Linked DNA regions of Drosophila melanogaster. The protein of the gene in region 1 purifies or fractionates together with the protein of each later gene. This does not show direct contact. Each region holds a gene or a part of one and is shown in the gene's direction. Other genes may lie near its edges.

The links.
Region 2: the proteins of Rab9 (region 1) and CG1544 purify together in Drosophila melanogaster (affinity purification with mass spectrometry, with the first as the bait; one large-scale study listed by BioGRID). This does not show direct contact.
Region 3: the proteins of Rab9 (region 1) and CG14562 purify together in Drosophila melanogaster (affinity purification with mass spectrometry, with the first as the bait; one large-scale study listed by BioGRID). This does not show direct contact.
Region 4: the proteins of Rab9 (region 1) and stac purify together in Drosophila melanogaster (affinity purification with mass spectrometry, with the first as the bait; one large-scale study listed by BioGRID). This does not show direct contact.

What each region holds. Positions count from the first base shown.
Region 1 is NT_033779.5:19,430,494-19,437,178, forward strand, and holds Rab9 (Rab9), read left to right. Parts: upstream 1-2,080; 5' UTR 2,081-2,378; coding exon 2,379-2,570; intron 2,571-4,173; coding exon 4,174-4,368; intron 4,369-4,429; coding exon 4,430-4,813; 3' UTR 4,814-5,348; downstream 5,349-6,685. Other genes in the region: RtcB RNA ligase, read left to right, coding at 278-1,570, 1,631-1,858; CG10237 (uncharacterized protein), read right to left, coding at 5,653-6,140, 6,317-6,470, 6,539-6,633.
Region 2 is NT_033777.3:31,194,395-31,203,291, forward strand, and holds the start of CG1544 (uncharacterized protein), read left to right. Parts: upstream 1-2,521; 5' UTR 2,522-2,617; coding exon 2,618-2,741; intron 2,742-4,776; coding exon 4,777-4,894; intron 4,895-5,062; coding exon 5,063-5,240; intron 5,241-5,326; coding exon 5,327-5,546; intron 5,547-6,009; coding exon 6,010-6,171; intron 6,172-6,514; coding exon 6,515-6,588; intron 6,589-6,664; coding exon 6,665-7,426; intron 7,427-7,486; coding exon 7,487-7,904; intron 7,905-7,960; coding exon 7,961-8,284; intron 8,285-8,653; coding exon 8,654-8,842; intron 8,843-8,897. Other genes in the region: mesh, read right to left, coding at 664-1,060.
Region 3 is NT_037436.4:21,939,751-21,945,442, forward strand, and holds the start of CG14562 (uncharacterized protein), read left to right. Parts: upstream 1-2,470; 5' UTR 2,471-2,704; intron 2,705-3,986; 5' UTR 3,987-3,995; coding exon 3,996-4,308; intron 4,309-4,366; coding exon 4,367-5,692. Other genes in the region: PolH (DNA polymerase eta), read right to left, coding at 1-978, 1,037-1,533, 1,588-2,019.
Region 4 is NT_033777.3:25,054,293-25,063,324, forward strand, and holds the start of stac (staccato), read left to right. Parts: upstream 1-2,726; 5' UTR 2,727-2,807; coding exon 2,808-2,890; intron 2,891-3,332; coding exon 3,333-3,612; intron 3,613-4,788; exon of another isoform or gene 4,789-4,977; coding exon of another isoform or gene 4,978-5,265; intron 5,266-5,916; coding exon 5,917-6,257; intron 6,258-6,320; coding exon 6,321-6,368; intron 6,369-6,667; coding exon 6,668-6,827; intron 6,828-6,891; coding exon 6,892-7,712; intron 7,713-7,778; coding exon 7,779-7,993; intron 7,994-8,050; coding exon 8,051-8,328; intron 8,329-8,385; coding exon 8,386-8,476; intron 8,477-8,540; coding exon 8,541-8,614; intron 8,615-8,673; coding exon 8,674-9,032. Other genes in the region: CG31109 (uncharacterized protein), read right to left, coding at 64-207; CG31111 (uncharacterized protein), read right to left, coding at 846-1,592, 1,743-1,805. UniProt on the Drosophila melanogaster protein: Essential for tracheal development in embryos. Functions with the GTPase Rab39 and downstream of dnd, to regulate lumen fusion between previously separate tracheal branches (anastomosis).

The sequences.
Region 1 (6,685 bases):
TAACACAGCGCTGTTCAATTTGTTAGCATTTTTAATTTAATTTAAGCAAATAAATTTACCTTAATACGATATTTGACAATTGGTTTGCAAGTGTAAAGGCGGTATTTTTCGTATCGCTTTAAGTCTGGTATTTTACACATCGCGCACTGCGATAGTATCGCTGACAAATATTTTGTGCCGGCATGCAATTCAGAAATAAAAAACTGGTGAAATAGCTCATAAATATAAATAGCTTAAGAAGCGATTGGCTGGCAAAGAGAACGACCGGAGAGTCAGGATGGTGGTGCGTCCGTACAACGATGAGCTCCGGTACCTGGAGAAAGTGAGCGACCACTGCTGGCGCATCAAGAAGGGCTTCCAGCCAAATATGAATGTGGAGGGGTGTTTCTATGTGAACAGCCGGCTGGAGCGCCTGATGCTGGAGGAGCTGAAGAACTCCTGTCGCCCGGGCGCAGTGGGTGGCTTCCTGCCTGGCGTCAAGCAGATAGCCAATGTGGCCGCGTTGCCGGGCATCGTGGGCAGGTCCATTGGACTGCCCGACATTCATTCCGGCTACGGATTTGCCATCGGGAACATGGCTGCTTTCGACATGAACGATCCGCTGTCCGTTGTAAGTCCCGGCGGCGTGGGTTTCGACATCAACTGTGGCGTGCGTCTGCTGCGCACGAATCTGTACGAGAAGGATGTGCAGCCGGTGAAGGAGCAACTGGCGCAGTCCCTGTTCGATCACATACCCGTGGGTGTGGGCTCCAAGGGCATCATACCCATGAATGCCCGCGATCTGGAGGAGGCCCTCGAAATGGGCATGGACTGGTCGCTGCGCGAGGGATACGTGTGGGCGGAGGACAAGGAGCATTGCGAGGAGTACGGCCGCATGCTGAACGCCGATCCCGCCAAGGTGAGCATGCGGGCCAAGAAGCGAGGGCTGCCCCAGCTGGGCACTCTGGGTGCGGGCAATCACTACGCCGAGATCCAGGTGGTGGACGAAATCTACGACAAGTGGAGCGCCTCCAAGATGGGCATCGAGGAGAAGGGCCAGGTGGTGGTGATGATTCACTCGGGCAGTCGTGGCTTCGGCCACCAGGTCGCTACCGACGCCCTGGTCCAGATGGAGAAGGCCATGAAGCGGGACAAGATCGAGACCAATGACCGGCAGCTGGCCTGCGCCAGGATCAATTCGGTGGAGGGACAGGACTACTTGAAGGCCATGGCGGCGGCTGCGAACTTTGCCTGGGTGAATCGCAGCTCCATGACATTCCTCACCCGTCAAGCGTTTGCCAAGATGTTTAACACCACACCCGATGATCTCGACATGCACGTTATCTATGACGTTTCGCACAATATTGCCAAGGTGGAGAACCACATGGTGGACGGCAAGGAGCGGAAGCTGTTGGTTCACCGGAAGGGCTCCACGCGCGCCTTCCCGCCACACCATCCCCTGATCCCAGTGGACTATCAGCTTACCGGGCAGCCAGTCCTCGTCGGTGGAACCATGGGCACTTGCAGTTACGTGCTAACTGGAACGGAGCAGGGCATGCAGGAGACGTTCGGTAGCACTTGCCACGGAGCGGTGAGTAACCAAATCCCGTTTCTTCCTGTTCGCCAGACTAAAACCTCCTTGAATCTTTAGGGTCGTGCACTATCTCGAGCCAAATCCCGGCGCAATCTGGACTACAAGGATGTGCTGGACAAGCTGGACCAGTTGGGCATCGCCATACGCGTGGCCTCGCCCAAACTGGTCATGGAGGAGGCACCCGAATCTTACAAGGACGTGACCGATGTGGTCGACACCTGTCACGCAGCTGGCATCAGCAAAAAGTGCATCAAGATGCGCCCAATTGCAGTTATCAAGGGCTAAGTCTAATTTATTATTGTGATTAAGTCAATAAACATTTGGTCCGATGGCTGTCAATTTAGTTAATAACGAATTAAAATTTTTATAGAATTTGTTAAGAGGTTTTCGTTTTTTTATTCAAAGTTAACAGTTATGTAGTTAAGCTGTTAAGTGAGCTGTGGTCACCCCACACTGGCGCTCTGTTAACGGCGAGCTTAGCATTATGTTAGGCCAAAGGCCCGGTCTGTTAGTTGTCAGCTGACTGCCAATCCAATTGGACCTGCTGCACGGCGCGAATTTTGATTGAGCTGCCCATTTCGATTTATTTAAACGAAAAAAAACGAATTATATTCGTTGTTAACAACACGCCGTGTGCAATTCTGTATGTGCGCCTGCTAATCGCTCGGGAATCGTGAGTGCAATTAAGCCGAAAACTCACTGCAGCCGGCAGTCAACCAAGCTGCGCAGTAGGAAAAGGCCAAAGAAATCTAGCCACTGCTGTTGCCGCCGGACTTAACTGCAAGAACAAACAAACGCAGGCACTATGACGAACATGCGGCCGCCGCAGAAGTCCAAGCTGCTGAAGGTCGTCATACTGGGCGACGGAGGCGTTGGCAAGTCCGCCCTGCTCACCCGATTCGTCGCCAATCGCTACGAGGAGAACAACTTCCACACCATCGGCGTGGAGTTCATGAACAAGGACATAGTCGTCGACGGGGAGCGCTACACTCTGCAGGTGAAGACTACGACTATGACTATTATGCAATCCAACTACTGACTAGGAGTAATAGTAATACCGATATTGCGGCAAGGCCGTAGAACTTTTGCAATTCTTATGGTGAATGCAACAGTTGGCCAAGCGTATTTCCTTCAAGTGTATTTCACTTAAACACTAACCCCCTCCCCCCCCCCCCAAACGGATCTATCCCACCGTCGCATGGTTGTGCCCGATCCACCGGCATTTTGTTGATGCAAACACTTAGAAACTACACAACGATTAAGCCTTGTTTTCCATTCCCTTACATTCGCGGCACAGTGGAACTTTAGTAAGTTAAACAGGGTAAAAACAGAAGTGCTAACAAATTAAACCATTTAAACAAGGAAACATTGACTATACATTCCTTGAACCATTTGAAACACTCGTATACCAGAGAAAAGTATTATCTTACTGACACGTTTTTGAGTCTTGCATTTGAAATTAAGAAAAAAATATGTGCAATCAATTAATTACGTAGTTTTTTCCACTGTAGCTGTACCTACATTATGGGGGTATCTGTTCCATCTGCCCCATCCCCACTCACACACACACATATATGAACATTAGATTTCTACTCAATTAGCGTTGAGAACGGAATGGCATTGCAGAAACAAAAAACTGAAATAATAACAATAATGACAGTTTCGCCATTCGGCAAACAAGTGAGAGACTTTGTTTCATCCGCCGACGCGGTTTCCCCCGCTCCATCTCATCCGCATCGCAGTTGTTTTCCATTTTCCATTCGGACTGTTGTCTTCAAAAGTATCGAACTAAATGATTTTCACAGTTCGCCAAGCTCGGAAAACTCATGAATATGCAGCGCGTCTCAGTGAGTAAGCAAAATGCAGCCAAGGTGTCGCAAATCGGAATAATAATTCTAATTGGACCAGCAGATACATTATAAAGTAGGAAGTAGCGAATGTGGACTGATTGATATACATATGACTAATCCGACGGGAATCTCGCATAGTTTGCTGGTTCACAGTTCGCTGGGCACAGGAAGAACTTGGCCAAAAGCGGATTTCCCAGTGCTGCAAAAAATCGTGGAATCACTGGGGTGTTTTTTGCACTACCTATATACATATGTACATATGTATGGAGTCACTTAGTTACCATGGGCAGTACTCACACCCTAAAAGGGTTATTCCACCCATGTGTTTGGAGGCCAAAGGTGTTTATATTAGATAAAGAAGTTTAAAGTATCCATTGTTAGAGCTAAAAGTATAACCTCATGTTCGAAAGTATAAAATAAATAAAAGTATAAAATAAATATTTAAAGTATGTATGCTACTCGAAAATTCAGATTCAACGAACTATTTCCTGAGCTAATTGCTTATCACCACCTCGTTATCAGTTCAAAACTAAATATTTAATTAACACACAAGAAATGACAGTAAATGTGTTGATATAAGTGAGTCAGTCAGGCATGCAAACACTCCATAGGTTTTCAAACGGCGAAAGTGTTTGTTTCTCAGTGAGTTTGCTTCTAATCGAATGCAAATTTCAATTGAGCGCCATTTGAATCGCCAATTCAATCAAACTTAATTGATGCATTGCCTTAATTGGAATTTCCCCAAACTAGATATGGGACACCGCTGGCCAGGAGCGATTCCGGGCTCTACGCACCCCGTTCTACAGAGGATCGGACATCTGTCTGCTCTGCTACGCACTCGACGACCGGGACAGCTTGAAGGGATTGGGTGTGTGGCGCAATGAGTTCCTCAACTACGCAGATGTGGACCAGGACAAGTTTCCATTCATCGTGGTGGGAAATAAGGTGAGCCATGCTTGCAGAACGTTCATCTTGAGTTTAAAAGGTTAATTGCTTCCAATTGTAGAACGACATTCCGGCGCAGAAGCGACAGGTGAGCTCCGACGCAGTGCAGCAGTGGTGCGCGGAGCAGAAGGTGGCCTGCCACATCGAGACGTCATCGAAGGCGGCCACCAATGTGACGGATGCGTTCGTCCTTGGCCTTCGCCAGTGGCGGCACATGGAGTGCGTGGCCGAGGCGGAACTGCGCCAGCACGGCGACACCATTGACCTCACCCGCCCCATTCGCCTGGTGCAGCGGCGCATCTGTTGCACAGGCGGAGGAGGCGGTGGCGGCGGCGTAGGGCAGGACGCGGATGGCGATGATGCCGCCATGCACAGTCCGGGCAAGAAAGTGTTCGGCCAGAAGCGCAACGCCAGCAAGGCGCCAGCCACCAATTATCGGCTATGAGCAGACAGACAGGAGCTGTCAGGAAACTTACGCTTAATTTAACCACTCACCCCGCCGGGTTGACCTTCAGATTCAATGCATTCCAGTCCGCGGAGGGGCAGGAGCTTCAGACCGAAAGGCAACCCATCCACCCAATGTTGATGGCTGTAGAGAGTGGATTGCCTCGTTGTGGTTGATATTCTAAGGGAACTATGCTTCACAGCGAGCTAACTATGAGCTAGCTTCTATGTCAAGAATAGGATCTCCATTTTTACTTGCTATGCTTTAATATTATCTTACTAAGTTATTATTTTGTTATGTTACCGTATCGAATATATGCGGTATGAAATACTCTTATAACAATCGTATATAAGCTTTACCATAACCAAGTGTCTTGCTTGAGGAAAGCAAGCTTTAGGTGTCTAATGTACTACGCATAAGGCAATCAGAATGTAATCACTACATTTTTTCCTTATATATTGCATAATTTCGGAGTGCCTTAAGTGTGTTTATCTGATGTGAAAGCTGGGAACAAACGAATAAATATGAATACCGCACGTGTTTGTTTACAAAGTATGTTTATATTTTAACAATTGGTTTAATGTACAATAGTAAAATGATATAAATACGCTTACCCCGGATTAAAATAATATGCATGTAGGTATAACACTTCTTCTGGCTGCGATCGACACTCCGATCCTGGTTAAGACTAAGGCAAACTCTAGGCGCTACTCACTAACAGGACAAGCGTATGGTAGATCGAGTGCTTAACTATAACGCTCCACGTGGGCTTAATGTGAAGACGTGTGGAAACGAGTGGAGTTGATTATCACGAGCAGCACCAGGCCGGTGGCCACAGATCACTTCTTCTTGTAGCCGTACGAGTTGATGGTGTCGAACTCGGTGTCGCACTTGAGCAGCAGCTGGTACCACTGGTCGCTGTCGATGCGGCTGGCCTCCCGGAATCCTCCGTAGGCGGCTGGCAGGCACTTGGGCGACATGTATTTGTGCAGGGACTCGCGATCGGTGCCATGGAAGATGATCCTGCTGCGCAGCTTCTCCTTGAGGAAGGGCTTGAACAGGGCAAAGACCACCTGGAAAATCTTCGGCTGGTTCACGATGTGAATGGCCTTGATCCGGAGCGGCACCGAGTCCTGAAGCCAGTCCACAATGCGCTTGGCGAACGGAGGCGTAAACTGCCACGTTTGCTGGAGACTGAGGCCATCCATGTCGAAGATCACAACGGCTCCGCAGATCTGTGTTTCTGGCTCCAGCATGGCCGCCTCCAGGAAGAGCACAGCTCCCTTGAACACCTCATCGAGGGTGACCTGCTTGTGCTTCCAGCGCTCTGTAATCGGGGATTACGAAAGATTAATACAGGATCTGCTCAATGCTTGGAGCAACTATGAAACTTCAAATGATAGGAAAACCTGCATCTTAACTAAAATAAACTTTACTCTGAAGATCGAGATCTTTGCACTCAAAAGCTAATATATTGAAGTATCCTTCTTTCAGTGTACTTACTGCCCAGTTCGAGGACCAAAATGCGACGACCCAGTTGATCTCGGTTGGGGAAGACGGTAAGGATGTTGTGCTTGAAGATGTTGGCCTCGTTCGATGGCTTCAGGTCGGTGTACACATCCGCGTGCTTCACCTTGAAGGCGTAGTACCGCTTAATCTGTTCCATATTCAGAATATATACAATTAGTAACACAGCTGGAAACTGGGTTGCCACACTAGACTCACCAGATCACGGGCACTTTCCGGGTAATACTTGCAGGGCCGCAGGTATCTGATCAGCCACTCCTCGTTTCCCTTGGGGTACAGCAAGTCCGTCTCCGCTGGAAGCATATCGCAAATATTAATCGACCTCACCTTCAATAGTCTTAATTC
Region 2 (8,897 bases), on another chromosome or scaffold:
ATAAATATATATATGAAACAAAATGTAAGCGTCTTGTTCTTGGCAAGTGAGGCATTACAAATATTACAATATTTTTAAACCATTACTCCTTTGCAATCGGTGAGTAATTCCACATATATATTTCGATATTCTATTTCTGACCAAACCCTTTTTTATTACACAGTTACATTCTAACAAATGACTGTGACTAATACGGCAAAAATTCCAATTCCGAATAGCCAATATATCAGTTCTAGGGGACTGATAAAACAGAATTGCTAAATCCACACACTACCACAGGTTGTAAACTGAATCACGCAAGACTCCGTGCTCCCGCTGTCCGCCGTGTCCACACCTATATTCGTGTGCATACATATGCGTATATTCACTATGCCACCACGCACCTGTTTTGTTTGCCGAAGCGGAAAACAAGAAACCGTTAGCTTTTTAATGCCTCAACCTGGGGCATTATCTTATCGGGAAGAACACAGAGCGAGAGAGAGAGAGAGAGAGAGAGAGGGGCTTACAGCACCTACACCTGAATGCCCGAACACAGGTTATCGAGCAAATATTGGTAACTAAACCAAACTGAAACCCACTGAGCTGTTCTGATAAGATAGTCAACGCGGCGTATGAGTAATGGGGTGGAACTGAATCAGCCCAGGGACAACGAAACCTACTCACCCCAATTGTAGCCGCTGTTGTCCACGTCGTACAGCTCCCCCAAATAGTCATTTGGCATGATGAGGGCTCCGAACATTTTCTCGGGCTTCAGTCCCGCGACGGTGAGGATATCATCTGTTCCCCGACTGCTGACATGCACCACGGGAATCAGAGTGGGCTTCTGCAGGGCCAGTGGTTTGGTTTTCGGGTTGTCCGCTTCCGCTTTTTTGGGAGCGGGCGTGGCCTTTGGAACCTCAACGAATTCCGCCTGAGCTTTGGGCTTAGTCACCTTGACCGGCTCCGGAACTGCATTGATTATTTGATCCTCGAACTCCTCCGTCGATATATTCTCGTTAGCCAGGACAAAGGCCATAAACCCGCAGGCCAGCGCACAAACCACAAACAGTTTGAAACGCATGTTCACTTGATTTCGATTTGTCACTTAATTGGTAATTCGTTTTTTCGTTTCACTGCTAAAAGAAAAACACAAAGGCATCAATTAGGCATCCACAATAAAAGTATCACTCAATAAGCACTCAATTCATGCGAATTTGTACACTATTTTTCCTCTGATATCCTCATTTTCTAACAATTTTCACTTGATGACATCATCAGTTAAGGCAATGGCTTATCAGTTCTCTTATCACTTGTCACCAATTTTCAATTTTAACTTTAATTACCAGGCAGGAAAACACGTTCGTTGCAGCGAGCCGCTCAGCTAAGACTGAAGTTAAGTTAACTCTAACGGCCCGATCGGGGCGTTGCCAAAACTCAGTTCACCTGTCGCCGTCTACTCGATTGTGAAACATTGCCTTATCGGCCAGATAAAGCTAGGCATATCTTATCAATGGAATACTACGCACCGATAACGCATTCCTTCTTCGGCCCGCTTGGCTTTTTCGGGAAGCTTCACTCTCTTCTCTGTGCTCCAAATTTACCAACCTATTTGTTTATGCCCATTCGTGGGACCGTTACCTATATTTCTCTCTGTTGACAATGGTCTCTGGCAGATTTGTGATTCACTTCCATTACAGTTAATCATACTCATGACGCGGCCATTTTGTGAAAAGCTGAATGGGCTGTAAAGCCTAAACATGTATGTGTGTGATGCGAAATTGATGAGAGCACGCTTCCGGTTTAATTATAGACAATGACCCATTACCGACCATTAATAGGCATTTCCGATGAAGCTTTAGAGTTATGAATATCAGCCGCCCGTAAAAAAGCCTACTGATGGATTTCATTAGGACATGAAAGTGTCATGGTCCTCATTAATGAAGAAATCAAGTGCAGAGTGGGGAACTCCAAATTAATAAAATCAAAGCGTTTTGAGGATCAACTTGTGTGACTAAAAGGGTATTATAAAACAATAATGCAGATAAACATTGCTATAATAAAAATCGAAGGATAAGATATATTTTTATAGTGGTTATTGTTAGGGGAAAATTGGTGTTGAAAATGTACCCCATATATCTTTTAAACAAACGACAGCATAATTATGTATAAAATATATATATAAATATAAAAATGTTTTTAACTATGGTACAGTTCATTTCAATATATTCCTGAGCATATGTATGACTAATTTAATGGATACAACTCTTCCCTCTCTCAAAGGCAATCCATTATTGGCCAACGAACCTGTTGCATTATCAGCTTTAGTTAACTGATAAGAAACTATTTTGAAATTCATTATCATCTCATACATGTGTTTAACAAGCGCTCTGTTAATTAACAGCGATCATATCACACCACCAGCCCAAAAGTAGGCACTACTTTTCGGAGGGATTTGTTCTCTCCCGGTTTATTTCCCAGCTTATCAGCAATTTAGTTTATTTGGAATATGGGGGTCCCGGCTTCAAACAAAAGTGAATTGCCCTTAGTTCTGGGTCGAACGGCGGCGAGAAGAGACCGCGATTTCGCTGCGAACTTATCAGGTGATCCGGCATACACGCCTCGTTTTTAATCCATCAGCATGCTGCGTTATCTGGCGCTTTCGGAGGCGGGAATCGCAAAACTGCCACGCCCACAATCGCGGTGCTATCACAGCGAAAAGGGCGTTTGGGGCTATAAGCCGATTGCCCAGCGTGAATTTCAAGGTACGGTTGTAAACAAGTGTGTTGCCAAGACTTCAATAAAAACCTCATCCGTCGAGATAACCATCGCATCGATAAGAGTCTTTCGGGATCAAACATTCATATGAATGGGCAGTGGAAATCTACCCAAGCAAAAAGAAAAACCGACGAAGTGACATTGTGTGCGTGTGTGTGCGTTCGTGTCGGATTTTCCAGCCGGCTATTTATCAGCGGAATTCAAGCAGCTGACCCACAACAATCCCCGCAGAAACTGCAATAAAACAACAGCCTGAACAAGAGATCAAGTGCAAATTGCTGTGGGTGAATTCGAAAACCAGTTTAAAGAAGATATATCATTTGTATACCCTGTAATCGGAGGGTATATACGGGAATACGTATGGATACCTAGGATTATTTTCACTAACTTCAGGTTTAACTTAATTTCGCAAAATATTTTTTAAATTGAAGTTCATTGTTTATGCCTCTCATACTATCGAGAAAGAACAGCTCCTGTTGACTGGTGGAATATTTTTTATGGTTTTAATGTTACCGTCTTTCCTGTTACCTACCCAAGCTAATCTCCACGTTCTCAGCTTATCACATGTTTTCACTCTGAAATCTGATAAACCCGAAATATATGGCGCTACACCCAGTACCCCGAATTTATAATTAGAATGAGGAGATTGTGGCAGACCCCCCGTGCAGTGCACTAATTAAGTGAAGAGAGGCGGATGTCCAGTGCAGAGATACTATATCTTTTCCCAAAACGCACGGCAGGGAGTCCAAAAAGGACCCGGCTAAATATCAAAGCCCGGCAAACAAAGGACCCCAAAACGGGAGCTTCTTTGTGCTTGTCCTGCATCCGTTGCGTACACAATTGGGGCTTATCGACACCATGGCCAACAGACACCAGTCACCAGTTGGTAGTTGGTAGTTGGATAGTCTGCCAGGAGCCTTTGACTGGGCACCAGAGGAAAGCCTTCAACGCTTGACCATGTGACATCAGGCGCCTAGGATGATGCACATAGAGAAAATCAAGTCTAGGATTTACTCAGGCTTTGGAAAAGTATGTTAGATATTCTAAAGCAAACCCAATTGACCAGTATTTTGAATTATGGTAAAGCGTACTAAAACTGACTTTAAGCGTTAGTTTTGCCTCAGTGTAGTATCGGTATAATTCGCCTTGTTTGCCGTTCGTCCTTTGGCTGCATTTCTGTCAGGGCAATCATTATCCTTGGCAAAGGACGCGCCGCTGTGCTCCAATAATATTTACACGCTCAAGCTGAAATGTTGTCACCGCAAATACAATTCATCATACACCCTGTGCTCCTGTCCAAGCGACCTACTCTTTAACATTAAATTGATTTATGGCCGAAATGCCGTCGAGAAATTGCATAAATTTCTGAGGACGACTTGGGGTCGGTCTAACTGGCAAATGCCAGCTGTCCCACGGATTTCGAATTTTCAGGGTACTGTAATCGAGTGATATGCGTCATCGCATATAAATCCTGTAAGCAGGATAACACTTTAACACGTAAACACCTAAGCAGCCAACGAGTTGTCAATGGCTCAACCAGGGAATAAAATATCCCAACAAAGGCAATAAAAACAACAATCGTAATTTCTCATATGTAGCACGAATTGCTTGCCATCGGGAAGCACAAACGTCGTGGTACACTCTATAGTTTTAAATTCGATGTAAATCTGCTAACTGGAATAACTAACGATATATGTATATGATAAGAATATATGTTCTGCACGCAATCTCAATAAGCCCCATTTAAATCTTTAGCCAACTCCTTTCGACATTTTCCACTCGAATTCATATCGAATGCCAAATATTTGCCGGGTAAATACGATTCAAAAGTGCACATACCTGGCAGCTAGTCCATCAAAGTGAAGCAAAGCGTAAAAAGCAAAGAATAAATATCATAAAAGTAAAAGGCCAATAAATTCAAAAGGCCGAACAACGTGGCAACGGGGCGATGTGCACGTGAATCCTTTTTTAAATAATTTATAACGTGGGGCGAAATTTATATTGTTTACGCGTGTGTTTCAGTGGCCGAGGATGTGCGGGCCTCAAGGAACTCGCAGGCCAACGTCTATCGCTTTGTGGAGGCCTTTCGCCAGCATGGGCACAAATTGGCAGCCGTAAATCCCATCAGCATCAGGACGAGGTAGGAGGCTCCAGCACCCAGTACCCAGCTCCCAGCTCCCATTTTCCCATACCCCTCCCGAAATCGTCCTGGCAAATGTCATATTTTATTCTCCCTTTCTGGCTGCTTTGTAATATCGCCCCGGCTGCGTGTATTTGTCTTGTGAATTTTCGTGGCTACTGGACACAGCCAGCAGGAGCTGCAGGAATTAAGTCCCGCATTTTATGGACTGCAGACACAGGAGCCGGTGCGCACCGATGGCCTTTTAAGTGGTCCGCAGGTGGCCCACAACGTCGCCCAGCTGGAGCAGCTGCTCAAGGACATTTACTGCGGCCGCTCAACCAGCGCCGAGTTCTCCTACGTCGAGGTAGGTGTCCCGTCCTATCGCATCTCATCCCATTCCACCGCATCCCATAAACATTGCGTGCTGATCCCGCTGCCTCATTTTCGCAGGACATCGAGGAGCGTGAGTGGCTGGCCCGGAACTTTGAGACGCTGGACCAGCAGCAGCTGGGAAAAAGCGAGCGCTGCGAAATCGCCGAGCTGTTAATTAAGTCGCAGGCCTGGGACAATTTCATGGCACTCAAGTTTCCCACAGTCAAGCGATACGGAGGCGAAGGAGCCGAGTCCATGCTAGCCTTCTTCTGGCAACTGCTCCGTGACAGTGTCCAAGGTGAGTTTCCCACGCAATGCCATCATGAAGTTATTTGGATGCATCACTCCGTTGAACATCGATTTGGCAAAGCAACATTCATAAACTTCTACGATTAAGTCCATTTTATTCCAAATTTCAAAGTTTCATCCCATATTTATGACATGATTTATACGGTCTCGTGCGTGTGGACCGCTCCTTAAACGCGATTAGCAAAACGCGGAATCGCGCACCCATTTCAAGACGCCGAACTTTGTCTCGTGACAGTCCGCAGAGATGGTGAATCTGCTCCTCGGAATTTGAGCTAGCCCACCTGAACTCTAGCCAGCATTCCAAACTTCCTTCCCACAGGCATGCTCACATATCATCGCACGCTTACTTAACCCTAATCTGCTTTCTCAAAACTTTTCCCTCTCGCATGCTACCCCGAAAAACAACGGAAACGACGACAACGATAAAAAAAAATTATACAATGGAATGACAGCGAACATCGAGCACGTGGTCCTGGCGATGCCCCATCGAGGAAGGACTCCGCTGCAGGCGGCGCTCCTCAACATGCGGCCGGCGAAAGTTTTCCGCAAACTCAGCGGCGCATCCGAGTTTTCCGAAGACATCGAGGCCATGTCCGACGTCATAAGTCATTTCCGTAAGTGAAACTTTGCCGGGGCGTTCGGTGGGCTTACAGGTATAGTAGGGTATTCTGGTATATTCGTTTATTACACGGACAAGAAGGATCTGAAGTTGAATTGACCGTAAAATAGAAACAGGAGAAAAAATGTAACATATAACTTATTTATAGTCAATTATTTATCCCAAAGTATTTAGTACTAGGTATGGATTTTAATATCCTGGGTATTTCATAGTCTTCATTTGAACTAAAATCCCTTCATCCCATCCTTTTCGTGTGCGCCAAGCAGTCTTAGCCTTGCTGGCCTAAGCACACACGGCGTATGCTTAATTTAATAAAACCTGAACCGAATCGCACACAGATGTTTCCGAGCAGCTGAAAATACTGGGCAAGAAGCTGAGCTTCAGCATGGTGCGGAATCCCTCCCATCTGGAGGTAAGCCGACACACGTCAAACTTTGAAATTTGATTTCTAATTTAAGCATCGTGTTCCTCCTTTATCCCACTTCTAGGCGGCCAATCCTGTGGCCATGGGAAAAACGCGATCGAAACAGCAAGCCAGAGGAGAGGGTGCCTTCGGGGATGGCAGTCAGCCCTTTGGAGAGCACGTGCTCAACGTAATCCTTCATGGTGATGCTGCGTTCGCCGGCCAGGGAATCAACCAGGAGTGCCTCAACATGGCCTATGTGCCTCACTTCGAGGTGGGCGGAAGTCTGCACCTGATTGTCAACAACCAGGTGGGATTCACCACGCCCGGAGATCGAGGACGATCCACTGCCTACACCTCAGACTTGGCCAAGTCTATTCAGGCTCCTGTGTTCCATGTCAACGGCGATGATCCCGAGGCTTTGGCCAGGGTCACAAGCTTGGCCTTTAGGTACCAGAGGGAATTCCGCAAAGACATCTTTATTGATCTGAACTGCTTCAGAAGGTGGGGTCACAACGAGCTGGATGACCCCACCTTCACCAATCCCTTGGTCTACAAGATTGTTCACCAGCGGGAATCGGTTCCGGACTTGTATGCCCAGCAGTTGGCCAAGGAGCAGGTTCTATCAGAATCGAAGGCCAAGGAGATGAGGGATGAGTACATGAAATATCTAGGCGAGGAGCTAGCCTTGGCTCCTGCATACCAGCCACCACCTTCCTACTTCGAGAAGCAGTGGACGAACTTTCAGTTGGCTCCCTCCAAGGAGCTAACCTATTGGGACACTGGCTTGGATTACTCACTACTTCATTACATTGGTCAGCAGAGTGTGACTTTCCCCGAAGACTTTGTAAGTTAGCTCAGATATGTGTATATATATATATTCTAAAGGTTTTTTCCTGGGTAACAGAACATCCATCCCCACCTGCTGAAAACGCATGTCAATGCTCGGCTGAAGAAACTGGAAAACGGAGTCAAGATCGATTGGTCCACAGCCGAAGCCCTGGCTATTGGGAGCCTGATGTACCAGGGACACAATGTGAGGATCAGTGGTGAGGACGTGGGTCGGGGAACCTTCTCCCATCGCCACGCCATGCTGGTGGATCAGCAGACCAACGAGATGTTCATTCCCTTGAACAGCATGGAGGGCGGAAACGGTGGAAAACTGGAGCTGGCTCACAGTATTCTGTCGGAGGAGGCGGTGCTGGGATTCGAGTACGGCATGGCCATTGACAATCCCAACAACCTGATTATCTGGGAAGCGCAGTTTGGTGACTTTGCCAATGGAGCACAAATTATAATCGACACCTTCATCGTCTCGGGAGAAAGTGAGATGGAAATAGCATCTTTTCTCCGTACTGATTTTAAAGAATTTCTTAACTAGCCAAGTGGATGGAGTCCAACGCCCTTGTGATGCTACTGCCCCACGGATACGACGGCGCTGCATCGGAGCACAGTTCCTGTCGCATCGAGCGCTTCCTGCAGCTCTGCGACTCCAAGGAAACATCCGCCGATGGCGATTCCGTCAACGTGCACATCGTGAACCCCACCACGCCCGCCCAATACTATCATGTGCTGCGTCGCCAACTGGCAAGGAACTTCCGCAAGCCCCTCGTGGTGGTGGCCCCCAAAACGTTGCTCCGTCTTCCTGCGGCCACATCCACGCACGAGGACTTCCAGCCGGGCACGCTCTTCCACAATGTCCTGGGTGAGTAATGGCTTCTGTTTATCTTCACGGACTCGAGGGATAGCGAGTGGGGTCATGGCATGACTAGGGTACTATGTCTCTGTCCCTAGGCAAATATGTAGAAAACTACTATAGTTAAATCTATTAAAAATACACCTCGTTGGCCAAAATAGTTATTGGCCACATACATAAAGGCAAACTAGCAATATAAACTTTTCAGATTTGCAAAGCACATAATTGACTTTTAATGCCACATATATCTTTTTATATGCTGTCCTGCTCCTATGAATTGTAAAAAGATGTTTACGTAAATTCAGGGTTATTATACTACGATATTAATCCACATTTTCTTCTTTACTTTCCCCTGTTATTACCCACCCCCAACGATAGGAGACACCATAGCGAAGCCTGAGCAGGTGCGCAAGGTCATCCTGTGCAGTGGAAAGCACTACTACACTCTCGCCGAGGAGCGGGAGAAGCGGCAGGCCTACGACACGGCCATTCTGCGCCTGGAGTCCCTGTGTCCTTTCCCCATCCAGGAGCTGCAGGCCCAGCTGGCCCAGTACGGCAACGTGCAATGTGAGTCCATCGTAAACTTAGGCCACAAAGTTGACCGGATCTGTATTTGCTATCG
Region 3 (5,692 bases), on another chromosome or scaffold:
TGTCCGGCATCGGATGACTGTCCTTCAGGCTTAGACATGTGGGTATCACTAGTTAACTCCGTCTCCTCTTCAGTGTCTTCTTCAAAATCTTTCGAATTGTCAGCCTCAATGGCGTCCAATTCCTCGGCCAGCTCCTGCACATCTAAGGAGTCCTCCCTCGATGTAACCGACCCTTGCTGTCCTGTCTTTTTTTGTTGTTTTAGGTACTGTGAAAAAAAGCTTTCCTTGAACTCCGCTGGTGTTGATGTGAGAACAGTTCCTTCAGTCCTTACGGCCGCATGAAGCTTATGTTTGTATTCCTCTACGAAATTCTTGTTTGGAGCACCTGCTGCAGCAGCCAAGGGATTCGCAGAAATGCCGTCTGCTTTCGCATCCTCTTTTTTAGCTCCTTGCAAATAGTTTGCAAAGAAGCTCTTCATCTTAAATTCGTCCGTTTGCTTCTGCTTTTTCTCCATTTCAACTTTAGGCAGTTGCCCTGGCTCATCTCCACTTACCCTTCGTTTCTTGGCAGCCTGGTTAGCAAACATCTCCTGCAGCTTGTTTTGCCCACTAGAGACGGTTTCGAACTTGCCAACACTAATGCCAAGGAACTTGATAGCATTGTTTAAAGCAGACTCGCTACCAGGACGCAGAAACGTTTTAGTGTTTGCCTTGATTAGGTCTAGAGAAAGCCTTACGATGGACTCCTGGTCGTAATCTCTGAGAGCAGTCGAGCGGGAGCTGGCCACCTCCTCGCCGTCAATGTCCTGCACATATTGCACCACCATATGTTTGGCCCTGCGATTGTTCTCGATGAAGTCCTTCTCAAGGCGGTCGTTGATCTCGGAGGAAAGCTCACCAAGCCAATGTTGAAGGGTTTTCAACCCCGTAATGTTATTTCGACCCGGAAACTTTTTACAGCAGCCAATGCTTTTCGAATAGAAGCGGGGAGTCACGGCTTCCAGGTCTATGCCGCGAGAGATGTTAAATAGCCAGGTTCTGGAATAAGAGGAAATAAGTTACTTTGAACGTGGTCTACTCCTCTTAAGGGACCCACCCATTCTTCTCGTCAAACTTGCGCTGCAGATCTACCTCCGAAAACTTGACCACCTGGCCCATGAACTTTATGCCTAATGTCTCACACACCACCTCACCGAATTTGCCACCCAGCCCCTTGATCTTGCCAACAGGCAAGGAGTCGAAGAGGCTGGCGGTCTCCGTCAACGGCAAAATAGTCTGCTTGTTGGGCTTGTTCATTCCAGCTGCCAACTTGGCCAGGATCTTATTGTGCGCTATGCCAGCCGAGCACTCGTAGCCTGTCTCTTTTTTTACAGCCGCGCGGACTTCACCTGCCACAGAGGCTCCAATAAGAAGCCGAATGTCGCTTTGTCGGACGGCGGGAAGGTCGTTTTGGTCGTAGGACATCTGGTAGCGTTCGTCGTCCATGTAGGGATTGGCGAAGCGATTTGTTATCTTGTTGACGTAGTCGCCAATGCTGGGATAGCCCACAGCAAAGGTGTTCACCAGTTCCTGCGGTTGCAATGCAAAGGCTCCCTGCAACGAGGAAAATAATAATAAAACGCTTTAAAATTATGTGCCAGAGCTTACACTCTGCATCTGCTGCATGCGATGGTTAACGGTCTCCGTTATGTCCAAGTACGCCTCATCCACGGAAGCGCGCTCCAGGAGCTGCGTAAATCGCTGCAGCACGTTGGCCACCTCCTTGCCGGCATCGCGGTACTTGCTAGTATCGGCCTTCTCCCGGATATTCGGCACCTGGCAGAGCACGATCTCCGGACACAGGTCCTTCGCCTCGTCGCCGCGCATGTGGCGAGTGACTCCCTTGGCACGAGCGGCGTAGTTCACTGCTATGATGCCGCCACCTCGCCAGGGATTGTACTGGACGACGGCCAGCGGGCGGTTGCGGTATTCCGGATGCTGCTTCTCCTCCACCTGGCAAAAGAAGCAGTCCATGTCCACCAGCAGGACCACGCGGTCGTACTTGTTCTGCATGCTGACATGGCTGCGTGCGCTGGACATGATTTCATTTCGTATTATTGCGCGAATTTCACTGCGCGCCAGGAGTGTGGCCGTGGCGGGGACTTCTTAAAATACCGATGCATTTTTGAATACTGAATACATTAAAGTGTTTCCCATATTTAAATCTGATAAAAGAATTCGGAATAATAATAATAAAAATATGCTCTTTAACACATATCAAAGCAGTTGTGTTATATCTTCGATATAAATCATTTCTTAGTTAGATATTCCTTAAAGTAAAAGTAAAGAATTTTGTTGAAAACATATTTTCGATAGTAGTGGAGCTTTATACTTTTAAAGACTCTCTTATTACTAAGCTATTTAGAAATTCAAAATTAGAGAGTATTAAATAACGTACCCTTGTATCGATGCTTTGTAGTCTAGCGTAGTTTGAAAAATACTTATCTCTACCCAATCCGTACTTCGCATTAGAGCAAAACCTGGTCACACTATATTGGATATTTTATAGTTTGTCGTTTCTCACTCGGAAATAATATAAACAAACGCGAGTAAATATTATGTGCAGTCCGGGGAGTCCTGGGAGTTATATTTACGTGGCATAACTACCACCTAATAATAAGTAACATATATTGTCGGAACATCTACGCCGAAGAAGAATGCATTTCAGAAATCCTTAAACCCTGTCTTCTGTTTTTCTGTATGGAATAATAAAACGAGTTTAAACGTAAGACATTGCCAAAGAGTAAATTATTTGCCAAGTTTCCAGCGGCACCTTCTAACAAAATGCTTAGATATTGATTTTTCCATATAAGCCGCTGCCAAAATGCAACTGAAAACGCACACACATCTCTTAGTGACCCCATTCCCCGCCGTAACACACATTTGCATGTTCTGGCTTCTCCATTTCCCAAGTTCATTTGGGTTAACGCACGGATTACGCGGGAATTATTGATTTGACCGAGCGACCAGAAATAAATCTCAATCCTTGTCTATTTCCGGCTATGCCACTTCCGTGTCCGCCTCCTGGCCGGCTGTTTTGATTGATGCGCCGAGTGGTATGTCCAGCGAATGTCCAATGGCTTAATTGGGCTAACTCACGTATAGCTACTCGGAATCGGGGTTGGGATACCGGGCCCACTTTAATCGCCTCATAGAATGCCGGTGGTGGTGGGCGGCGGAAATCAGGAAGGGCGTGTTTTTGTATACTATCGTGACCTAATTTCCTGTCTGTTTACTCTATGGTCAAAGCGTACAATACAACAACGCAGGACTTCCACCTGAAGTAAAGGTGCAGCACTGACCTATTGGAATACTTGATGCCGCACGACGTTGGGACGGGTTCTTGTTTTACCAAATGTACCACTCTCTCTTTTAAAAAAGGTGTTCAAAAGTTCGATTGCATATCTATGATTCTGAAAGACGGATGGTGAATGAAAAAGGTGTACTGCGAGTGATATTTTTGGATTTTCAATTTAAAATGTATTTATCACAGTTTTATTTGCTTCCCTACTTTTTGTGACTCCAGATAGTATACATACATATATCGTAGATTAACAAAATTTTTACCGATTAAAGATTTAATTTTGATCGCGACTTTATCTACAATCCCGAAATATTCTGCGGCTAACTCTTATTAAATTTAAGTGCTTCACTTTTTAACTGCCCTATCCTAGCCTAGCTTGCCCATATGCGCTAGCCTTAGGCCTCATCGGCACATCCACTCTTCCGATCCCTAACCCCAGTATAAGCGCACAATTATGCTAATGGTTCACATGCCCAAATAAGAACCACTTGAGCCCCGCTAAGCGGTCCGCCAATCCACTGTCACTCGGACTTCTCCCTTTCTCTGTCCCACGCTCAGTCAGAGAACTCCCTGCTCTAGTGGCTGATTCACGGTGAGGCCATCAGTCTGTGTACGTCCGGCGATGAAGTCACTCCACTAAGCTGAGGGCTTAGTTTGTAATTCTAGAGTGCCGTAAAAAAAGAATTCATCGTCTTTTTTGTAGAGAGCCACCATGGTGAAGATCCTGCAGGCCTACAACTTTGCCAGGCAGCAGACGTATGCCCTCAACGGTGACATCCTGGCGGCCAGCCTTATCGGGAACAACCGCATAGCCATCAGCAGTGCTGAACAGTTCATCGAGATCTACGACATAGGTGCCAAGCAGGCTCAATCTGAGGACCACACAAGAACGGCACCAGAGGACGTTGGACAATCCAATGAGACGGCAGGAGAATCCACCACCACCGCTGGTGATGAGAGGACGCCGAGCAGGAGCACGCTGGCCACGGTGGGAGAAGTGGTGCAACTTATTTACTGTGAAGCTGGTGAGTATATATTATGTATATGTATCTGAAAACGCTACTAAAGATGAATCTTCCTCAGGCAAATACCTACTTACTCTTGAAAAGGAACAGGCGGGCAGTCCGGTGCACTCCTCCTCCACCATTAGCTGCACATCAAGCAGCAACAGCAATACAGTCTGCTCTGAGGACGACACGAAGATGTTCGTACGCATCTACGCCAACTTCTGGAAGTTCCCGGACAGCCGGCTAAACGAGCTGCCCATTACCATTCGAATAGCTTCGATGACCACGCCCAAGACACCGTTGGTGGAGAGCATCGATGTGATTGAGCTGCCGTTGCGCAGTCCGCCGGAGCTGGTGCAATGCTGCCAGACATCCGGAAACATCATTGTGAGCAGTCGTGACAGGATTTACCTCTACGAATACACCCAGTGCGTTCATGAGAACACGCAGCCTAGGTTCGCTTTCATCGACTTTCTGCCCTTTAAGTTCTTCGTGCAACTAAACTTCGTCCCTGTGCGTCTGTGTCTAGCCGAGAACGTAATCGCCTGTCTCAGCAATCGCTACTGCGTGGCCTTTAAGGTTGTGGATGCACTTACTAGCAGAGCCAGTGGAGGGCAGGATGTAAGCTGTCTGGATAACGACTACGTTGGCGGAGACGAGCCGCTTTCGGAATCCCTAAGCTTGGGCAGTAAGGCCAGTGCCAGCGGCGCAGGTGGGGGCGTGGTCAGTTCCAGTCACAGCCAGCAGAGCTGCGACAGCGATTCCCTACAATCGACGAGCAGTGCAAAACCACAGGTTGTCATGAATGGTGCCTTGCCTGGACGGTCACCGTTAGACTTTAACGTGGCCAAGCTGGTGAACAATGCGTACGGCAGGGAATTTGAGCCGGAACTGCGATCTCAGTGGGACGAGACTACGGACTACGGAGCAGGAAAGGGTCAGGATGACAACCTAGATATCACCATCAGCCCTCAACGTGCCTCAGACATTAAAATCAAGCTCGTGAACGAGGCCAAGGCAATGAATGTGAGGGGCATATCCGGGAGCAGTCATCTGGATGATGCGTCGGTGCAATATGATGTGCGCAAGCTGTTGCAGATCTGCATGAAGACCTCGGAGAATCAACCGCGCGTTCTGGACATCTTTCGTTGCATGGACCTCAAGGCCATTTACCAAAGGAACAGCCAGGAAGTAGACCAGGAGGACGATGAGTATGACATGGGCAACCAACAGGTGCCCAGTGCTGTGACCACGTTTAAGCACGTAAACCGCCGGACGCTTAAGTCTTCTCAGCACCAGAGGTGCATAGGACACGCCCTCCTCGTGGCCAGCAGTGTGGACGGCTTTCTGTACCAGTTCTCTGCGCAAGGAAAGTGGTACAGTGAGAACGAAAAGCCAGTGG
Region 4 (9,032 bases), on another chromosome or scaffold:
TGGGAACGTGATTTGTGTGTAGCTCCGCCTTTTCAGCAGCGTCCATTAGTTGGCAATACTCACTGTAATTGGTAGGTAACCGTTGATTTTCTCAACAAGACACAAACGCTGGCCATGATCACTATAAATATGTATTACTGTGCGGTGCATCTCTGAACACAGTCGGCATAGAAATCCCGATATGCACGCCTTTTCTATGCTCCCCATCTTGATTGATTCCGATTCTGTTGGTTGGCTATATCCTCAGCTGCTGGTTGGGATGTCGTTTAATTTAACGCTAGCCAAAACAACTTTCCCAAAATATTGTTTAATACTTTTCAGATAGGTGTTGTGTACATATGTTTCGATTCGAGGGTTGTATTTCCGATTGCCTCGGCAGGTTGCCAGCTTGTTTTTTTCGGCATTTCTATAGAAAAGTCGATAGTTGACAACAATTGTACAAATGCACAGTTTCATTTGAAATAACCGCGAATGCCCACATAAAACATATGATTTTAGCACATTGAATCATGCGGAAGTGGGACAAAGAGTTTTTAGAATAATATGTTATCTATTTAACTGGAAATTGTTAACCAATCTGTCCCAAACACTCGTAATAATTTAATATTTTAAACTGTATTATAACGTATTATACAGCTGGAAAGTATATTTTGAAACGGACGAGATGGAATTGAAACAGATCAGCTGTTTCGGGTTTTTAGTGTTTTCGTATCATGTACCAGGTACATACTTAGGTACATAACTAAGTACTTCTCGCAACGATTGTATCAGAGAAATAAAATTCGTCTTTATATTATAAACTTATTATTCTTATATCGAGAATCAAATAGTAAAAACAGATCTTATCAAGATAGAAATCCCTGGAGCGTCTCAAAGGATAAAGACGCGCTGTTTAAGGACTGCACATTCTGCACCGCGAATCCCTTGAAATTCGTGCACTGATGAAAGGCAGGATCCATCATAAGCAGCGATTGTGTTTTTTGGTTTGACAAGCCAAAGAAAACCTCGCCCTGTACGTCGAACGGTATTTTAATTTTAACGCAGGGAGACCGCTGAATGGAGTTTAGAAGCTCCATGTGACACATATTGGCGCTTTCTCCGAAGAAAACTCCATCCAGATCATTGTCGGGTATTATTTGGAACTGAGGAATCCCGGCGTTATTTAAAATCTTACATGTGAACACACACTTCTTGCGCGGATCCTTGGGATGGGCGTAGATTCGTGTGGCCACATATCCCACGGGATATATCCAGCTCTCAGTGTGAAAATTGGGATTCACTGATATAATCTCGCCCAGTGAGTGGAGTAATACATTATTTAGGTTCATCGGAAACATGGGCTTCTTTTTCCGTACAATTGTAACATTTTTTGGCTTATCTTCGACGGGGTTCTTATGCGAAACTACAGGACTGTATTTCTTTGTGGTTTCAGCGGCGTCGTTTTTTCCATTCGAGACACTGGGTCGTCCACTGTTGGATTTCTCCAAGCCCTCGTGAAACATGAGGCGCTCTATCAAGTAAAGTCTTTGGGATCGGGTCACAGATAGTTCGGCCTGCAGACGACAGATCTCATCCGTGAGGGCGGCGTTCTCCTGAAATTGGTATTATAAAGTTAATAGATCATATAACTTCCCGTAAATGTTTTATGCTATAATGTAAACATATATGTGAGTAGGAATCTTAAGGTTTCTTGTAAATACTCTTAAGTTTGCATAACTTCGCCCTAGTTTCTAAGATCTTACCAGTAGATAACTCTTGACGGAGCGTTTTAAGCTCTCGTAGCGCCGCTTATACTTTAAATTCATTGCTTTTTAATTTATAATTTCAGCAAAAACAAGAGATACGATTTGTTTGTTGTTATTGCCGTGGGTTTGTTATGATTATCGGACTGCAGGGCTGCCATTCGTAAGTTATCGAAATACGGTATTCGGTAGATTCATTTATGTTGGTATATCTTACATACCAAATTAATAAACAAAACTGATCTAATCTAATCTTTGTTTATTTTAAAAGATATAAATAAAGTTTTAAAGGGTGCGAAAAAAACAAACGGAGACGTTAATTCGAATTGAAATTAAGGAAATTCCTAATGGATTTGCAAATCCTCTTAGCCTAATTCAATCTGGCATTCTGACCTTGCAAAGGACTTAATCATGTTAAAAAGTTACTTCCGGCGCTCGGAATTAAGGATATTTGAAAAAATAAGGTATGTTTTTAAAGTAGTTAAATAGTTGCGCACATAATTTAGCTTGGCATCTGAAAATGTGCCTTAAAGTGCGTAGTTTGACCATGGAAGCACCAGTCTGCAAAGGTAGTTACAAGAATACCAACACCTAGCCCTTCAAGAGTATATGTACATAAACAGGTGTGCGTGAGGCTTACCACCATTAGAACCATTGATGATTGGTAACTTCTTAATGGATTTTCATTCAACAATTTCAAGAGTTACAAACTATAAGTTTTTAAAATCATTAGCATGAGAGCTAGAAAAAACGTCCGATCACCATGGCAACAGGTGTCTGTCTGTATGTATCATCCCGTTCCTTCCCATTTCCCCACTTTCGCCCAATGTTAGATACTACAAACATCCATAGCTCATTATAATGTGTTTGCGATAGTGTAGGGAAGAGCGTGTGAATACCACTGAGAAAAATCTACGTCGGAGAGCAGCTTTGGCAATGAATCACATCGTTTGTTCGTTTCGGTTTCGGTGCAAATAAGCCGTTAGTATGTTTCTACACTCCGGTGACACTTGTTGGATTCCGATTTCGATTCAGTGCCTCTGAAGCTAAAAACGCAACATCACAATGGACGAGGAGCAGATGTGGAAGGGCTTCTTCTTCAAGTTGCAGGAGCTCAAAATGAATCCACCCACGGAGCATGAACACCAGTAAGTTGGATGAATAAAATACAGACTCACGCATACCTGTAGAAAACTTGAAAACTCACCGATAGACAAACATTTGTTCGCCAGACGAGCCGAAATGTGTGTTTCTATTTCTCTAGACAAATATGAACATTTTGGAGAACTGGAACTGTGTCATCAGATAAATTAAAGATTATCAAGTGAAATTAACGTGTGTGCGTGAGGAATGGCAAGTGATGTAAGGGAGTGGGGGAAGCCACAGATCGATTTTACCACCCACTCGCAACTAAAACATGACTCAGTTTTAGGGTATTTTTCACTGGGCTTTCAAATACATCTACATAAGCTTGCTCATAGTACGAGTATCCCTAATCGAAATGAAATCCCCATTAAGTGATGACTAGCCAGTGCAGATAATATTTAATGACTTTTTTCGAATTATTTACTAATTGCACTTTTTCCGCAGACTGCAAGACGGAGATGATGGATTTTTCGAAAAGTTTGGATCCCTACTGCGGCAGAAGTCCCAAATCGATGAGGGCGTCCTCAAAAGTTCACTGGCTCCCTTGGAGGAAAATGGCAGCGGCGGAGAAGAAGATTCGGACGAGAGTCCCGATGGCACTTTGCAACTCAGCCAGGATTCGGAGTGCACCAGCATCGATACCTTTGCCACCGAGAGTACACTGGCGTCCAGTTCGGACAAGGATATCAGCACTTCAGTTCTGGACTCGGCGCCAGTGATGAATGTAAGTTTTGTAATTGAGAAATCAGTGCTGTGAATCAGGTTGACAAAGCCATTAAAAGGTCACAACGAATCAGACAATCAAACTGCATTCCAACTGGTGCAACTAATAGAGCTCCAGCTTATACTAAACGTAACCTATAGTTTAATCATAAGATTACTAAATTATTTATTTAATTTAGTATCTTACATACTCCCAAATGCGTACGTTAAGAGATTTTTCATATTTATACATGTGATTCATACGAGCTCTTGTGAATTCGTAAAACTCAGTTTAAGGATGATTTATGGTTTAATCCGCCCTAATATATATATACATATATATTCATGATAGAGTATTGATAATCGCCGCTTTACGAACTCGTTTTGAATTGTTGGGTTAGTATGCACTGTAGCTTTTAGGATTCGAGTGAAAGTACATCAAGATAAAGCTCCGTCATTCAGTTTGGGTTTTACCAGGTCGACTCCCAAACTAGCTATCCACCATGGTGGGTATTGGTGAATATGGATGGCTTTTGAGCCTGGTCACATTCACGTCATGTGTAATTCCTAGGCCCGACTACCGAGGAAGTTGCGACATAGGTCAGTTTTCCAGTTTGCAGCGCGGCGTAACGATCGCCTACGAGTTAATTCAATGTTTTATCTTGTGCCAACATTTTGCTGTTCGCATGTTTGCCGTCTGGGCAGGTGTAGTTTAATTGAACAGAAACCGAAAATGAAGTCGTGTCCATAGAAACGAAACGCTTGCACAATAAACAAAAGAACTTGCCTATATAGTCGGACTGTATAAACAAACCGAATAATGTATACTGACAGCATAAACAAGCACTGCAGAACATGCAAACATTGAAGAACCCTAGAGCGGCCAATTGAAGGGAGGCGGGGAGAAAGCTTAATGTACTTTAGAAAATACATTTTTCATTACCACCTTGAGCTTTTCCTTTTTGTATCCGAAAATAGACCATTTTCTCTTAAGATTGCTTTATTATTGCTCACAAACACTTGGCCATCATCGTGTACATACGAGTATGCACAAATACACCAAGCAATCTGAATCGAATTGAGCGCATACACTTTTTATCTCATGGTCAACGTCAAGATATTTCGGATATCGCAAAGATTTCCCACACCGGACGCTATTGTACTTAGCTACAGACTCTTCTCCGAAGCGGTTGTGTCCAGTCGGTGTTCCTGAGTCCGTGGGTGTCCACGATCTGTCCACCAGCGCATCCGATCGTGCTCGATAATATGTGCGTCTATATCGAATTGTATATTTGCCAGAGAGTATTTGCCAAAAATTTCAATTTCGCTTGCACCTAGAGAAAAACATTGAAAAAGTGGAGTGATCGGTTAGTGGCTGGGTTCGATCATGAGCTACCTATCGCTACCACGTGTTCTGAGCAAGTTCGGCTCCCAAAACCACAGTTCGTCTAACCAAAGTTCGAAAACCAATAGCCTAACTAGATCCAGTACGCGCACCGGATGCGACGAAATCAGACTGCCGCGGAAGGCATCCTCCACCCAGTCGCTCAACAAACCATTCGAGCGACGGATGAGCATACTGAATCGGAATGGAAGCATTTCCAGTCGACACTTCCGTGGTGTCCACAAGCATTTACTTGATTCCCATGCCAAGGCGGTCTGCCACTCGATGACCGTAAGTAGAGAACGAAGTTTGGATGCTATATCTAGATATGGATATATCTGTAATCCATAATGAACTGATCTTAAGAATATCCGAGGGAATCGGTTCATCAGTGCCTCGGTAAACAAAAGCGATTGTATAAGTTCATTGATTTGGCATAATTGTTGAGTCACTCGAGTTAAGTGCACAGAGTATTTCAGTGCTTAAATACATATATTTATGTACTTGTTTTTTTTTTGCCAAAATCATAATTGAAAATTATGTAAAGTGTAGCTAGAAGATACCAAAAAAAAAATCAGCGAAAATGTGAACATTCTAAGAAGTTTATTGATTCGAATTTGGAGCTAAGTCAATATTTATGTTAGTGGATAGTTTATGGGAATGATAAAACATTTCACTGTAGCGAGCATCCAGTAGATACTTATATAGAATGTATCTAAGCAAACATGACCTCAGCTGGGTCTGTTTTTCCAATTTCCCTGCGAAGATTTGTTTATATTTCCGTATTCTGGAATTTGTCGATATTTACTTAGGCTTTGACCTTTAGAGAAGTGACTTATTTCTATTTTTGCTCAAAGAAATTAAAATACTTCACCGATTAGATGGTTTATAAATGTCGCCTGCGTTTTGGGATTAAACTAATTGTTGCCTTTGCTTTTGCAGGTCACAGATCTCTATGAAGAGATATTATTTGAAATTTTCAACAACATTGGCTGTGAAAACAACGAAGAGTGCACAAACAGTTTGGTCGAATTCGTGCAGGATGCATTCAAAATTCCGAACGCCACTCATGAGGAAATTTATGAGGCGGCGCGACTGAAAGAACCGCCCAATGTTAGACTAAATGTCGAGATTATAAAGGCCGAGAACCTCATGTCCAAGGACTCAAACGGCTTGTCCGATCCGTTTGTTACCCTGTACTTGGAATCGAATGGCTCCCATCGATACAACTCATCGGTCAAGCCTGCCACATTGAATCCCATATGGGAGGAGCACTTTTCACTGTGAGTCTTGATTATTTCGTATAAAAACTGATATATATTTGTTAATGTTTATTTTCTTGCTAGGCCAATTACTGAAAATGCTCGAGACGAAGTTCTTATCGTTGAAGTGTGGTAAGTGTGACTTTGTTTGCATATTGAACTCATATAACGCACTCATAAAACCTACGTTATCTGGCTGATAACGTTTCTTGAACTCTAAATTGCACTTATCGCGGATCAATAGGTTTATGGTCTGAAACTAACTAACTCGAAGGTATGGCATCTTAAAAACTCATCATTCTTTTTGAAATATGTTTGAGTAGTTAAAGTAAAGTACGTTGTGTTAGTTTTATAACATTAGAATTTCATGCTAGAATCCCATTTATCTATTTTAACGCATGATTCCCATTTAATATTTTACCTTTTTTCAGGGACTTTGATGCTGCGGAAACCGTCAAGGAAAAAGTCAACAAAATCCTGGATGTTAAGGGTGTGAAAGGACTTAGCAAGCTGATGAAGGAAATTGCTGTAACAGCTTCCTCGGGAAAACATGATAATGAACTGATTGGGAGAGCTGCAATTACATTGAAGGTAGGAAAAGATCTAATATTATCAAAGATCTTAACACTAAAAAAAAAACACACATATCCTTCAGTCTATTCCCGTTTCCGGCCTCACCGTATGGTATAACCTGGAAAAGGGAAGCAAGGGACGCAGTCGAGGATCACTTCTGGTTAATCTGGCCTTGAGTGCGGAGAAGAACAAAAGTGTCGCCGTTCAGGAGCACAAGAACCTACTGAAACTGCTCCTGATGTACGAGCTGGAAACCTCGCAGGTGGCCAACTACTGGTGGAGCGGCAAGTTCAGTCCCAATGCCGAACTCATTCGATCCCAGCATGCTGCCCAGAGTGGGCTAACTCCTTTCGACTGTGCGCTCAGCCAGTGGCACGCGTACAGCACCATCCATGAGACGCACAAACTCAATTTCACACTATTCAATTCAATTCTGGACGTGGTGGTGCCAGTGATTACTTACATGCAGAACGACTCCGAGGATGTGAAAACATTCTGGGATGGCGTGAAACGACTGCTTCCCTCGTGCTTCGCAGTGCTAAGGAAACTAAGATCCAAAAACACCAGTGATAAAAACATAATTAGAGCTCTGAACGAAGTTCTGGATATTCTAAAGAAGATTAAGGAGCTGGAAGTGCCGGAGAGTGTAGACATATTCCCCAAATCGGTGTATGGTTGGCTACACACAAACGACACTGATGAAACGTGCAATATTGATACTGCCATTGAGGATGCTATCAACACGGGGACAAGGGAATGGCTGGAGCACATAGTGGAGGGCAGCAGGCAATCTAAGAACACCGAAACCGATGACGAAAAGCTGCAGTACGTCATTAAACTGATACAAATGGTGCGGTCTGACCTGCAACGTGCAATGGAATACTTCGATAAAATCTTTTACCAGTAAGTTTTACAATTGTGCATCGATGAATCAATCAATCATTTATTATTTACCTTGTTCATTTCCAGCAAAATTCAGCTTAACTATTCCGCTGTACTTTATTTATTTTATGACTCCAAGCTTGCTGAAATCTGTAAATCGATTATAATAGAAGTGTGCAATAATATTAAGAGATTGGATGTGCCAGACGATCAATTCGAATATTTACCCAACCTTGAGAATGTAAATATGGGCACGACTTTGTTTGAAGTCTATTTAATACTCAAACGTTACGTTCAATTAGGTAAAGTACTGAAGTCCTCACTCTTAGCAAATCACTAATTGATTTTTCTGTTTACAGGAGAATCTCTTTGCTCCGAGCCCCTGGAACTGTCCAACTTTTACCCGTGGTTCGAGAGGGGAGTTACCCACTGGCTGGATATTTCAATAATTAAGGCATTGAGTCGCATCCAGAAAGCAATTGATTTGGATCAGCTGAAAGCGGTCGATGAAACAGTGAAATACAGCTCCTCGGCAGTGGACACACTTTCCATATTCTACCAAATCAAGATATTTTGGCAACAACTTGACTGGCCAGAGGTCGAGGGTTCCTACATCTTCGTAGCCAAAATCGTCAATGTGAGATTGAATACAAATATAGTTATGTTATCTTTACTAATTATTATAATTTTACAGGATCTTTGTCGCTGCTGCATATTTTATGCCCAACAGATGTCCCGCAGAGTTGAGAATATTTTTATTGCTGATGATAACAATAAAAATTTCAGTAAGTTCTATTGGAAACCATTTTTTATCATATATTGTTTGTATTGAATTTATTTATTTTATAGTTTTGTCGGAGGAGTGGTGCATAGCGATAAACAACATGGATTACATCCGGCAGAGCTTACCTTCATTCATAAAGGTAGAGGTTTTATTTACCTAAATCAAACAAATTTATTGAAAACAAATAATTTATTTCAGGAACTTAGCATTGATGACATTATCAAGAGATTGGGGGAGTATCGAACTAACTTAGAGGCTGAGAGATGCGCAAGCACCATCAAAACTGTCATTGAAAATGCATTGGACACCGAACGCAATCAGATTGTTGAGCTCATAGAGATTGTGGCCAGGAAAATGGCACCGCCAATTAGACGATACTTGGCCGAAGGTGCTGAGGTGCTCGCCAAGGACTCCAACTCCATGGACCAGTTAATGATGTACCTGGAATCCTCATTGGCCACACTCTACGATACTCTCAATGAGATTAATTTCCAGAGGATACTGGATGGCATTTGGTCAGAGTTATCCATTATAATGTATGATCTAATTCAATCAAA